3 linked regions of the Arabidopsis thaliana genome follow. The protein of the gene in region 1 interacts with the protein of each later gene in a pairwise test. Each region holds a gene or a part of one and is shown in the gene's direction. Other genes may lie near its edges.

Region 1 (3,386 bases):
ATCTCCATGACCAAGCTGCCCATGTGTATTTGATCCACAAGTATATGCATGCCCTTCCCTTGATAGAAACACAGTAAAGTGAAGCCCAGCAGCCACCTGGTATAGAAGATAAGTTTGTCAATGTTTGATAGAACCAATTTAGAAAATCAATAGGTCTAGATAGGGTTGGTATCAATTCTACCTGCTTACAAGGAGTCCCCTTCAAAGCCTCAACAAGCTTAGGCCTAAATATTGGACGGCTAGTATCTAAATGACCACAGCAATGCGATGAATTATCCCCACAAGTGAGAACCTGTGCCGGATTTCAAATATGAGTGATTATGGCAAACGACAATATACTCACAGGATAGGTTTTAAGTGAAACAGAAGCTACCAACCTGTCCAGATTGCAATACGAAAGCAGAATGGTTCTGTGTGGCTGAGACTTGAGCCACTTGAGCAGGGAACGGAAACTCTATAGGTGTAAATGCTACACACTGAGTAGTTTCAGAGCCATGAGCAAGAACACCGGACAAACTTACACCACAAGAATAAACCTTTGAGTTGTTGATTAGCAAAGTGTGATACTTTCCTGTTGCAATTTGCATCTGCAGAAAAAATAAAAGAAATGCATCTGAGACTTCTAAACCAAATTAACCAAGAATCAACTTTCTCCATAGCAACTTCACTGAACTACCTAAAACTACTGACTATATGAAATGACAGAAAGCATACTTTGCCTTGAGAGGTTTCAACCATATCTGAGGATTGCTCAACTGACTGCAAGAAACTAAAAAGCCGCTTCCAGTTTCCCTCACAATTGGCAAAGAGCTCTTTCTGTGTAGTCAAACCCATTCCCACGTAGACAGGGTGCATAGAGCAAAGCTGAGACGCCGCATAATCAGCTAATGATCTGAATTTCAAAGGATAGAATCCATGGCTCCCTCCGAAAACCTTAGAAGTCAATTCCAAGCTAAGTAGATCAACCGCACTAAGCCTCCCAGAGGTCAACACCTCCAAGATCAAATGAGAAGGAAGATCCTCGAACGAAATCAAACAGTTTCGATCAGCCATTTCTTCCCTTCCTAATTCTAAGAACAGGGTTTCAAAATGACCTAATTGAACGTAAAGGACGAGACTTTGGGTTGCTTCAAGCTACTAGAGGATCAGATTTTGAGGCGAAATCGAGAGCAATTGAAGTAATGTATGAAGAACACGTTGGATGGTAGAAAGAGATAAGAAATCGAATAGGAAAACGGAGTTATAGATGAGAATCTCGCAGTTGGTCTATTCGAAGATCGGAAACTAATCATGAGAAGGGTCAGATCGCAAGAATCAATCCACCTGAACACGCCAGATTCTTCGAACTGCAACGAAGAACAGAACAATCCACAATCAATCAAACTAAACAAATCCCTCAAAAAGGAGAAAACTTTCGATTGAAAAACGTACAATTGAAATCGAAAATAGGGAACGAGGAATCGAGAAGAAGAAAAGAGGTTAGTGGTGATAGATCCTTACCTGGAAAGCAAAAGGTCTTGACTTTTTGGTTGCCCACTAAACAAATGAAACCAAAAAGTCTAAAAAGAACTTTTTTATATAAGAGAATGGTGAAAGACGTGTGAGGACGAATAGAAAATTAGGGGAAAATTCAATATCTTGCCTCTTAAGCTTCTTTCGTGGCGATTGTTCCTCTCTGTTTGCAGAATCTTTTGAGGCTTACTTAGTCGTCGGCTCTTGAATGTACTCTGTTTTATTGCTTTAGCTGAGAGTTTTATGTGTTTTCTGCTTCACCACTACTTTTGCTTGGTTTATGTTCAAATTAAATTGGTAACTTGGTTATTTGCATAACTATTTCCGGTTCTCCGGCTTCACAAAATCCTCCGGTTTAGTTTTACGGTCTGAGATTGGATGTAGTTTCCGTGCTTGACACGTGGAAGAAAAAGAAGTGAGAAGATGAAGAATCGGCCCTCCATATTTTGGGCTTTAGGTTATAGTAATGGGCCCAAAAGTGAGTCTCTCGTAACAGAGCAATTTTTAGACAGACGAAGAAGAAGAAGAAGAAGCAGAGAATCGATTGACACGAATCTTCATCTTCCTCTTACTCTTAATCAGGCTTGTTCTTCAGTTTCCATCACTTAAGGTTTTCGTATTTTCTCGAAAGATTCAACGGAAAAGATAGAGATAGATAGATGGAGGAGGAATTTGTTATGATTGATCTTGATGAAGTTTCAAGGCACATTGAGATTCCATCAGATGCTCCTTATACTTTATCAGTTAGTTCAAATCCATATTCTTTAGTTAAACTCTTTGCATTGGTTTTGTTTTGACTTTTGTTTATTATTTCTCAGGGTTTGGATACTTTGAATCCGGTGTTGACCATTGATGGCAAAATCAAGCTGGTGAGTTTTCTATAACTTGAGTTTGAGTAACTCTTTTGCTTAAACCATTCTTAATCGTGTTAGATTTGATGATCTCTCAGGTTGGAGAATATATTGAAACGATTGGTACATGCCTTGCTTTCTCTGAAAAGGGTTAGTTTCACTTTTCATCTTTATTGGTTCACGTACTTCTTTTGTCCCTTGATGTTTTTACTGAAGCTGATTTTTGAGGTTTCTTTACTTTTATTTTGGTTTTGCAGAAGAAGTTTCAGCAAGTGAAAACCAGATGCCACATAAGAAGATAATTGAACCTGTTGCAAAACTCCACAAGATTCTTAAGTTTAGATTAGCAGCATTAGACAATGATGATGGAGAAACAAAAACAAACAATTTGTAATAGTTTTTCCCTTGTTTAAGTCATTGGAGAGCTGAGTTATGGGTATGTGTAGAAAGGTTACAAATTTTTTTAAATGATTAGGAATGATAATTCTCATTTCATGTTAAAAGATTTTTTTGGACTTGCTTATTGCCAAACTTCAAAAGATTCTTAAAGTTTAAGTTATAAATTAGCATTCGACAATGAAAAATGCAGAAACAAAAAGAAGAAACCAATTTGTTACAAAAAAATTCTCCTGTTGAGGCCATTGGAGTTTATAGACTTGTAGTACATATCACAGAACCAGACGTACTGGATTACACACCAACAAAAGTGAAAATATCTTAGACAAGGGACACACGCATTTCTCATCAATAAAATCAATCTGGTGTTCACACAAATCTTACAAACAACAACATAGGTGTTGATGTTAATGTTGTAGAAGCTACTGATCTGGAAGTCTGTCTTTCAGGTAGTTCAACACAGCTTTTGTTCCTCTTTCTAGAATTGGCCTCCTGATACTGTTTTAAGAACGTTGGTGAAAAAGAAAATCAATCGATCTGGAAAGTTCTTGTGTTTATTAATGTATCAGTGTTTATCATTTATACCTTCTTAATGGGTTCCCGTCAAGTCGTAGAACCTCAAGTGTA
Region 2 (3,853 bases), 1.6 Mb from region 1:
ATCTTGACGTTCTTGTAGAGTCTCTTTACAAAAATATGTGTCCTTATGCTAGCTCTTTTGGGAGGAAATTGTCTTGAGAGATAAAAACAATGTTAAGACTATATTTTTATAGGTTTTATGATAAGCGTAACATAAAAATCATATGATAAATCATTTATGCTTTTTCGTTTCTTTAGCTTTCTTGAACCATTTTTTTTTTTTTTTTTTTTGGTTTTAGTTAAAGCTAGACTTTGCCCTTGAGAGGTTATAAATTGAAAGCATAATTCTAAATTTATGTCGCATCGAGAGGAAGCGATGATAAGGAAAAACAAAAAAAAAGTTTGAAAAGATTCGCACCTGAGGTTGAGAACTTGAGATGAGAGGTTCTAACACCAATAATAACAAAGGCATCTAATTAACGTTTCTTTCTATAGTTTCGGATTAGAACTTTTGTAGTTTTGATTTTTCTTGCAAAACTATATACTGTATATTTGCCTTCCACTATTCCTTCATATTTTGTTGGGTGTGATAAGTAATATAGCTCTCAAAATTGTTCAAAGTCCGGAGGGATTTGGGTCGATGATACGTTGGATTAGAATAACTACTAAAATGTCATTGTAACGTATTAGGATAGAATAGTTTCTTAAAACTTTGTAAGCCCCACAAAATGCATGTTTTTCAGAAGGTGGGTATCTTTGATAAAGATTGGTTATAAGATGTAACAACCAATTGTATGTAGCATATATAACTAATTAAGATCAATGTTGAGTGTTTGTTCGCAACTTTTTACTAAAATATACAAAAGAAAGGATTAGTTGAATTGAATTTGTCTGTCGTAAAACAGCTTCACCTTTTTTCAAAACTAATTTCTTCCATTGGATTTCGCATTTTTCCTTATGAAGCTGCACAATGTGCATTACGGAATATATTCTAAGATTCCTATTAAAAAAGTTGTAACCAAATTAAGTAATAAGTACTCTAAATTTTAGTTATTTATACACATATACATACGTATGTACAGTTCACAAAATTGTAATAAAGTTCCATGGTGAAACTTTTGGAACGTAAATAAGCAAAAAAACAAAACAAAAGGAACCACCACGACACTAAAACATTTTATGAACAGCATTTTAAGACATTTCTGAAACGACATTTTATAAATAGTAAAATGTATATGTTAATATGTAATGTAAACTCAAATAGTTTATGTTAACACAAACTTTTGGTAAAGAAAGTAGCAATGACAAACACGAAATATTGTCTATAGCATATATAACGCCCTTGAAGTGGCAACTGTGGCATAATGTCCTTAATCTTTACACTGTATAATTGGCAAATTGGTGTTTTAGCTCCTTCAAGTTAATTTGTACTTGCGATTTTGTGTTTTACCTTGTAGGATATGCATATTTTTTTGAGTTGATTACTTATTAACTCCGCTCAGTGTTTCTTAATGTCGGAGATCAAAAAGCTTTAAGAAAATAGCATAAACCTCATGCATGTACTACTAAAACTTTGTTGATTATGATCAGAGTTTCCTAACTGTTTTGAAGTACTGGTTTGTTTCTTTTATCTCTTACCTAGCTTTGATTTTCTTTGTAGAAGCATTAACATCTACAACTATACAAGTGATGTTGAAACATATATACTTCTTCCAATATAATCACCATCCGGTATCATAATCGGATTAAATTCGGAACTTCTTTAGAACCAATGGCACTCATTAATCGACATTAATTTATTTAAATAAACAATAACACTTTTGTACTTTGTTTTGATATTCTTGAAGACTTTTTTGCAGTCAAAACTCTTTAACTTTTTTCTTTATATTTTAACACCAAAATTCTTTTTTTTTATAAACGAGTCTAAACTATTCACAAATGCCATAGACGAAACATCATATAAAATTCAAACAGAAACATGTTGAAATTTACATTAAAAATAAATACCTCCATAATATTCCACTCTCCTAATTATGTTGAATCTCTTAATACATTGATCACGTTATAAACTCTTTCAAACTACAAGTAACAACTTTTAAGCTAACCAAACAAAAAAACAAGGAACAACTGATGAATAACTTTTAAATTACTATCCTCTTCTCTTATTCCTCCACTCTCAAGATTCTCTACCCGTACAGTTTCTGAAGTTTATATATAGAATAGACCAAAGAGATGTCAGAACACAAGATCAAGTTATAGATTGATAGAAATATACTCGTACTAATATCAATATATAAATACTCTGATTCCATATTAACATAATAAAGTATTTAGAAACAATTTGAGTTTCGTAGGCTTATACACAGTTGATGGGAAGAACTGGGATCGCCAAAGCACCAAAGCTGCTGTTAAGGTCAAAACCATATCTTTTCTCATCATTCTTCTTTTATTTTCATTAATCAAATGCTATTAGCCACAAAACATAGGTGGACAGTACCCACATACACATAAATCATCAAGTTAATTGCTTAATAGATATAATTTTCTCTTCATATATTTTATTTTGGAAATTTTAACTTTACCAAAAAAAAAGTTATCATTTTGTCAAATCTAGCTAAAATAAATTCATAAAATAATTTCTTACAATTCAGTTGTTAAAAAAAAAACAAGTTTCTTACCAAAGATTTTTTCTAAAATTTTGATACACACTATAACAAGCTATAAAATGTGTAACAAATTTAAAAAGAAGTAAATGTAATTTTGTGATAATTAATGATGATTTAGGAGTTGGAAGCAATTTCAAGGGCGAGCAGGGATAAGCAGCAAAGCTGCAAAATCAAACCCGATGATCGTCGACTACTTTGAAGATATTTCCGACCATAATCTCAAATTTAGCGGCGAAGAGGAGAGCTGGGTCCCACACCCACGCACCGGAATATTCTTTCCGCCGGGACAAGAGTCGGTGATGGAAGATGTCCCTAATGGTGCTGCCTCCTTCGACATGACGTTTTGGCTTAGGAACGTTGACGGTGTTGATAAACCTGATCCTGATCTTCATCATCTTCCTTATTAATTATAAACAAAATTAATATGGTATTGCTTATCTTATGATTGTTTCATTGAGAAATGAAATCGTCATAAGGGGACACTATATACTACATGTAACTATATTAAATAATCTCAAGGAAATGAGGAATGGATACGTACAAGTTTACAACAACATTTCATTGTGATCGTTTTCATATGATGGATGAAGAGGCTCAAACTCAATAGATATTCGTTGTGACTTCACACTTGTGATTATGGTCTTGTGTGTGTGCGAGGTAATTTACACAGCGACTAATGTGAAAAGAATTTAACCAATAACTAATGTAAAAATAATATTATTTTTTCTTAGATGTGATCTCGTATTTCAACTGCATGCATGGTAAAAAGAAAACCATTAACAAATCTATAAGGTGATTTACCAAAAAAAAACGATAAAAGTACATTTTTGTCTGTGGGACAAGTGGAGTAAAATAAGAAGGTAATATTGGAATATATCAAAAAAAAAAAAAGTTGATAAATATATCAAAATTGTTTAAAGCAGCTTATATTTTGAAGTAAAAAAATCCCAAATTCCTCTGCTTTTTTATTGCTACCAAATACTGGCTGCTCTCTATTACTTTGGTTTATGAAATTTGATGAAAACTGTAATATTGTTTCGAATCTTGCTGAATCTATTAACTGCTTTGTTCTAGATCCTACGAAACAGTGTTAAAAGATTGGTCTAGATGTACTTGTTTTAATTAGCTGTATTAGTGTTTTCTTGAGAGATTGATATGGTAAGTATGGCCAGACTCTTTCACTCTCTTTTTTACAGTTTTGAAATCTATATATGAATTATATAGTTTTGAAATCGTAATTAAATCCCAGCTACGTAAGAAGTTTGAACT
Region 3 (5,191 bases), about 13 Mb from region 1:
CAGGTAATAAATATATCTAAGCTCAAAATTTTAGCTAGTATCGTACACCTATTTATGAATGCACTAAAAAATATCAACCATTCTATTTGAGATAAATAATCACATTTGGTTTTATTTCGTTTGTAACAAACAGGATGAGTCTGAATATCCTATGATTCCACCTTTGCCGTCATACGGAGATGCAAGGTTTACTGGTTTAGTATACGGAAGTAACCTAACCGATGTTGTTATCACCGGTAAGCACAACAAAACTTAAATCATTAAAATGGTTTGATGGATATATATATATGAGATTGAATCAAAATTATATATTTAGTTTATAAGATCAAATTTGTTGTTAGGTAACAAAAGAACGACTAATGGACAAGGGAAGTCATGGTGGTTGAAGTATCGAAGTGGCGGTTTCAAGTCGATATCAAGACCTTTGTTGATCGAAATCATCTTCTCCGAAAACTGAAGAGGTGACACTAATCAACACACAATCCGCTATCCGAATCAAAACCGCTATAGGACGTGGCGGTTACATCAAAGACATTTTCGCTAGGAGATTTACGATGAAGACGATGAAATACGTTTTCTGGATGACCGGTTCGTATAAGCTGCATCCCGTAGGCGGGTTTGATCCCAAGGCGTTGCCGGAGATTAGCAATATCCATTACCGTGACATGACCGCAGAAAACGTTACAATTTCGGCAAAGCTAGAAAGGATCAAGAATGGTCCATTTACGGGTTTATGCATGTCGAGTGTGACTATAGCTTTGTCGCCGGACCCGAAGAAGCTGCAGTGGAACTGCACGGATGTCTCCGGAGTTACTAGTAGGGTTACACCGGAGCCGTGCAGTTTGTTACCGGATAAGAGAACTACAATGGACTCAGACTGTGATTTTCCCACGGATAAGATTCCTATTGAGAGTGTTGTGTTGAACAAATGTTATGCTTAGAAATGTGTTTGTAACTTTGTACCGATTTATAGGTTTCATTATTCCCGTAACTAAAAGATTGAATGGTTTATGTTCATTCTTCAGTTTACAAATCCGCTAATAATTTTCACAAACTTTCTAAAAAACATCCAATAAATGAATCATAGTTTCAATAAAATGTAATTTAGAAATAATGTGTCAAATTTTACAAAATCTAATTAAGCAAACTTAGCCATTCTTATTTTTTTGTTCTTACATGGTTAAAAGTTATACATATATTTGAAATTTGAAATAGTCAGTTAAGTGTTTCATATATTCATAAACGACTTTGTCTAATTATAAAACTCTTTTACAATAGGAGCTACTTTCCCAAACTCTTTTAAAATTTACCAAACAATTTCCATTGTTGGAATAGATAAACCAAATTAATCAGTTTTCACGGAATTGGTTTGGTTAAACCGCATGGACCGGTCTTTTTTTTTCTATCTTTGGGTCTCTTGTCTGAATAGGTTTAGAAAAACAAAGCGACGTCGTTTTATAATGGGGACCTTTCAGCCTCATCCGTCCGTGTTACTAGATTCCCCGAGAAGATGAATCTGACACGCGCTCGCCACACTCCCTTTTTATCCTTAACCACAACTTTTTTTATTTCATTAAGAAAATTCTTCATCATTCTTTCTTCTGCTTCTTCTTCTTCTTCTTCGTTGAAAAATCTGTCTTCTCTTCTTCTTCTTCTTCTTCTTCTTCTTCTTCTCCTCAAGACGAGAGCGAAGACATTATCTGAACAAAGCGCTTCTCCATAACAAAGGTATTTCTCATGTTCTTGTCCTCTAGGGAATGAGTTTCGGTTGATTTTGATTCCTTCCAGATATTTTCTCAATTCCAGTAGCCTAGAAAACTTATTTGCTTAGATATGATTTGTTTCCTGGATTTTGATTTGTGGTAGGCTTGTTTTTGTCCTTTTCACGAACTTGGAATTTGTTTGTTTTTTTGTTTTCTTTCTTTGCGTTATACATGTTTCGTTTCTTGTCTTTGTGGTTATGCCTAGGTTTTAACCTCTGTGTCAATCTATAACAGTTTCTCCTTTTTCGTTTTGATTCTCAGGTGATTCAATTAGTCGATATGGTAGGACTTGATTCAAGCCACTTGTTGAGAGACAAGATCCTTTGCTTCTCCAGCAGGTCTCACATAAACAACCAACATAAGAAGACAAGTTATGCATTATCACTTAATCACATGAAACTTCCTATTCAGAGAACCTTAGCTTTTGCCTTAGCTCGCGGGAAAGGCGAAGCTGAAAGTTTCAGCAGATTGGAAGCCACCTTTGGTGATAATACCTCCACAGAATGTACCTGGAGTTTTGACTTTCCAGATTCTAAAGATGCTATGTCTCATCTCAAGTCAGAAGCAGACCTCTCTGGAAGCAATGGGGCCAATAATGTGGCTAGTGTTATCGAAAAACTGAATGCTCTTCGGTCACATCTCTTAGCAGCAGAGAAATGGAATGCTTCTCAACTACACTTATGTGACAGGTTTGTTAACCATTTTATATATAGTTTGCATTACTTATTTTTCGCCTAATTTCCTAGTACCGTCTGTTGCAGTAAGTATCTGGAATGTGCAACAAACTTAGTTCATTATATGGCTTTGAGATCTCTGGACATTGAGCAGCTCAACAGTCATCTAGCTTCTCTTGGTCTGTCAAGTTTAGACAACAACAATCTGGATGTTCTCGCCCACCTTAACGCCTCTATTAATCTTTTGATGAACGATCAAAACGCTGTGACGGAGTCTTGGACTAATGTATATCCCAAGGGAAAAAGTACTAAGAAGAATGATAAAGGGAGGGTATTATCATACAAAGAGTCATTACTTGGTAAACTTCGTGAGGGAAGAAGTACTCATATCATGGTAACTATTGGTGAAGAAGCAACTTTGAGTGAAACATTTATAACTGATATTCTTAAAGCTGGAACATCTGTTATCCGTATAAACTGTGCACATGGAGATCCAAGTATTTGGGGTGAGATCATCAAAAGAGTAAGAAGAACTTCTCAGATGTTAGAGATGCCATGTCGCGTTCATATGGATTTAGCAGGACCAAAACTCAGAACTGGTACCTTAAAACCTGGTCCGTGTGTGATGAAAATTTCACCAAAGAAAGATGCTTATGGAAATGTTGTTTCTCCTGCTTTGGTATGGCTCTGCCTCACAGGAACAGAACCTCCTGCTCATGTTTCCCCTGATGCTACTATATCGGTCCAAGGCCAAGATTTTCTTGCTGGTCTCCAAATTGGTGATTCTATAAGACTATGTGACGCTAGAGGGAGAAAGAGGAGACTTAAAATCTCAAAAGAGTTTCATGTTTTCAACAGTACCGGGTTTGTGGCTGAATGTTTCGACACTGCTTACATAGAAAGTGGAACTGAGTTAAGTGTTAAGGGAAAGAAAGGGAGACGTTTAGTTGGACGAGTAGTAGATGTTCCTCCCAAAGAATCTTTTGTAAGGCTAAAAGTTGGAGATTTACTAGTCATAACCCGAGAAGGATCGCTCGATGAACCATCTGTAACTGTTCCAGGAGCTCATAGGTTAACTTGTCCTTCCGGTTATTTGTTTGATTCAGTCAAGCCTGGTGAAACCATTGGTTTTGATGATGGAAAAATATGGGGAGTCATAAAAGGAACAAGTCCTTCAGAGGTAATTGTCTCCATAACTCATGCACGTCCAAAAGGTACAAAACTAGGATCAGAGAAGTCCATTAACATACCGCAGAGCGATATCCATTTCAAAGGCTTAACATCAAAAGATATTAAAGATCTTGATTATGTAGCTTCACATGCTGATATGGTTGGTATTTCTTTCATACGTGATGTCCATGATATAACCGTTCTTCGACAAGAGTTGAAGAAAAGAAAACTAGATGATCTTGGTATTGTTTTAAAGATTGAAACGAAAAGTGGATTCAAGAATTTGTCTTTGATTCTTTTAGAAGCAATGAAGTGTTCGAATCCTTTAGGAATTATGATAGCTAGAGGTGATCTTGCAGTGGAATGTGGATGGGAGAGATTGGCTAATATGCAGGAGGAGATTATAGCTATTTGTAAAGCTGCTCGTGTACCGGTGATTATGGCAACTCAGGTTCTTGAATCACTTGTGAAATCCGGAGTTCCAACTAGAGCTGAGATTACTGATGCTGCAAATGCAAAAAGGTAAAATATTTTGCATTAGACATGATCTTTGTAAGATTTGCAGTTTCTTTGTCTAATTTTGCATTTTGAAAATATGCAGGGCGAGCTGTGTGATGTTAAACAAAGGCAAGAATATCGTTGAAGCTGTTTCAATGTTGGATACTATTCTTCATACCAAGCTTATCTACAAGAAATCGGACTCTGAAAATCTCCATTGATCTGCTTGTAGTTTGCTTGGCCATTTATATTCGTATTGTTGTTTTATAAGAAAGAGATTTTAGGGGAAATGTACAATGTATTTAGGATATGATGAATGAATAGAGATCATAACATGGAAGGATTAAGCTTGTTGATTCTAGTTCTCCCATTATGATTCCGATTGATGATGGTGTTTCAAACAGTGAACAGTATAAATAGAAAGTAATGCCAATCACAAACAAGAACGGTGTTTTGGTTGGTTGAGACACAAAACTCATGTGTTTACGAAAGAACATTGTTTTATTACCATCCTCTTTGAAAACCATCTTTCGCATTCAATCATGAGAGGGATTGTCACTCCTCGAATTAGAAAGGTGGTAAAAACAATGGAAGCCCACCTGCAATCACAGAACATACAGAGATGATTGATATAAGACATGGTCATTTTTGGGTGTAAAAAAACACAAAAAAGTGATCCAACAATAACTCCAAGGATGACATGATTTAAAAGTTGACCAACACAAAAAAAAGAAGAAGATTTCTTACCAGTTTAAGCCTGTGAGTGAATGCACATTATGAACTATCTGCTGAACAAAATCTAATTGGATGGAGGAATCGATAGCAGCATCGGCAACTTCGATGACTGTATCTTGCTGCACTAAATCAGTAAGAGTTTCAGCAACATGATTCACATCGCCACTCTCATCTGAGCCTGAAATATGTGAAGTCGACATAGGCCGATAGGTAGAGACACCAAAAGGAGAGCATAGTGGGAAATGTGAAGGGCTTCTCATCATATGCTGCTGAGAGAGAATCATCGAACTGCTGAAGGATCTCTGATGAAGAAAAGAGCCGTAATGTGGCTTCTCTTCATGGACATCATCA

Evidence for each region.
Region 2: the proteins of AT3G15420 (region 1) and AT3G19550 interact in a two-hybrid assay, tested with the Arabidopsis thaliana proteins (one large-scale study listed by BioGRID).
Region 3: the proteins of AT3G15420 (region 1) and AT3G49160 interact in a two-hybrid assay, tested with the Arabidopsis thaliana proteins (one large-scale study listed by BioGRID).

What each region holds. Positions count from the first base shown.
Region 1 is NC_003074.8:5,207,075-5,210,460, reverse strand, and holds AT3G15420 (Transcription factor TFIIIC, tau55-related protein), read left to right. Parts: upstream 1-1,951; 5' UTR 1,952-2,171; coding exon 2,172-2,255; intron 2,256-2,330; coding exon 2,331-2,381; intron 2,382-2,461; coding exon 2,462-2,513; intron 2,514-2,620; coding exon 2,621-2,757; 3' UTR 2,758-2,886; downstream 2,887-3,386. Other genes in the region: AT3G15430 (Regulator of chromosome condensation (RCC1) family protein), read right to left, coding at 1-96, 182-292, 378-587, 715-1,053; AT3G15410 (Leucine-rich repeat (LRR) family protein), read right to left, coding at 3,182-3,257, 3,345-3,386.
Region 2 is NC_003074.8:6,786,600-6,790,452, reverse strand, and holds AT3G19550 (glutamate racemase), read left to right. Parts: upstream 1-2,028; 5' UTR 2,029-2,287; coding exon 2,288-2,331; intron 2,332-2,522; coding exon of another isoform or gene 2,523-2,528; intron 2,529-2,702; coding exon 2,703-2,991; 3' UTR 2,992-3,326; downstream 3,327-3,853. Other genes in the region: AT3G19552 (uncharacterized protein), read right to left, coding at 2,523-2,528, 2,761-2,979.
Region 3 is NC_003074.8:18,221,267-18,226,457, reverse strand, and holds AT3G49160 (pyruvate kinase family protein), read left to right. Parts: upstream 1-1,552; 5' UTR 1,553-1,728; intron 1,729-2,024; 5' UTR 2,025-2,042; coding exon 2,043-2,452; intron 2,453-2,524; coding exon 2,525-4,129; intron 4,130-4,208; coding exon 4,209-4,326; 3' UTR 4,327-4,580; downstream 4,581-5,191. Other genes in the region: AT3G49155 (F-box/LRR protein), read right to left, coding at 4,581-4,704, 4,853-5,124.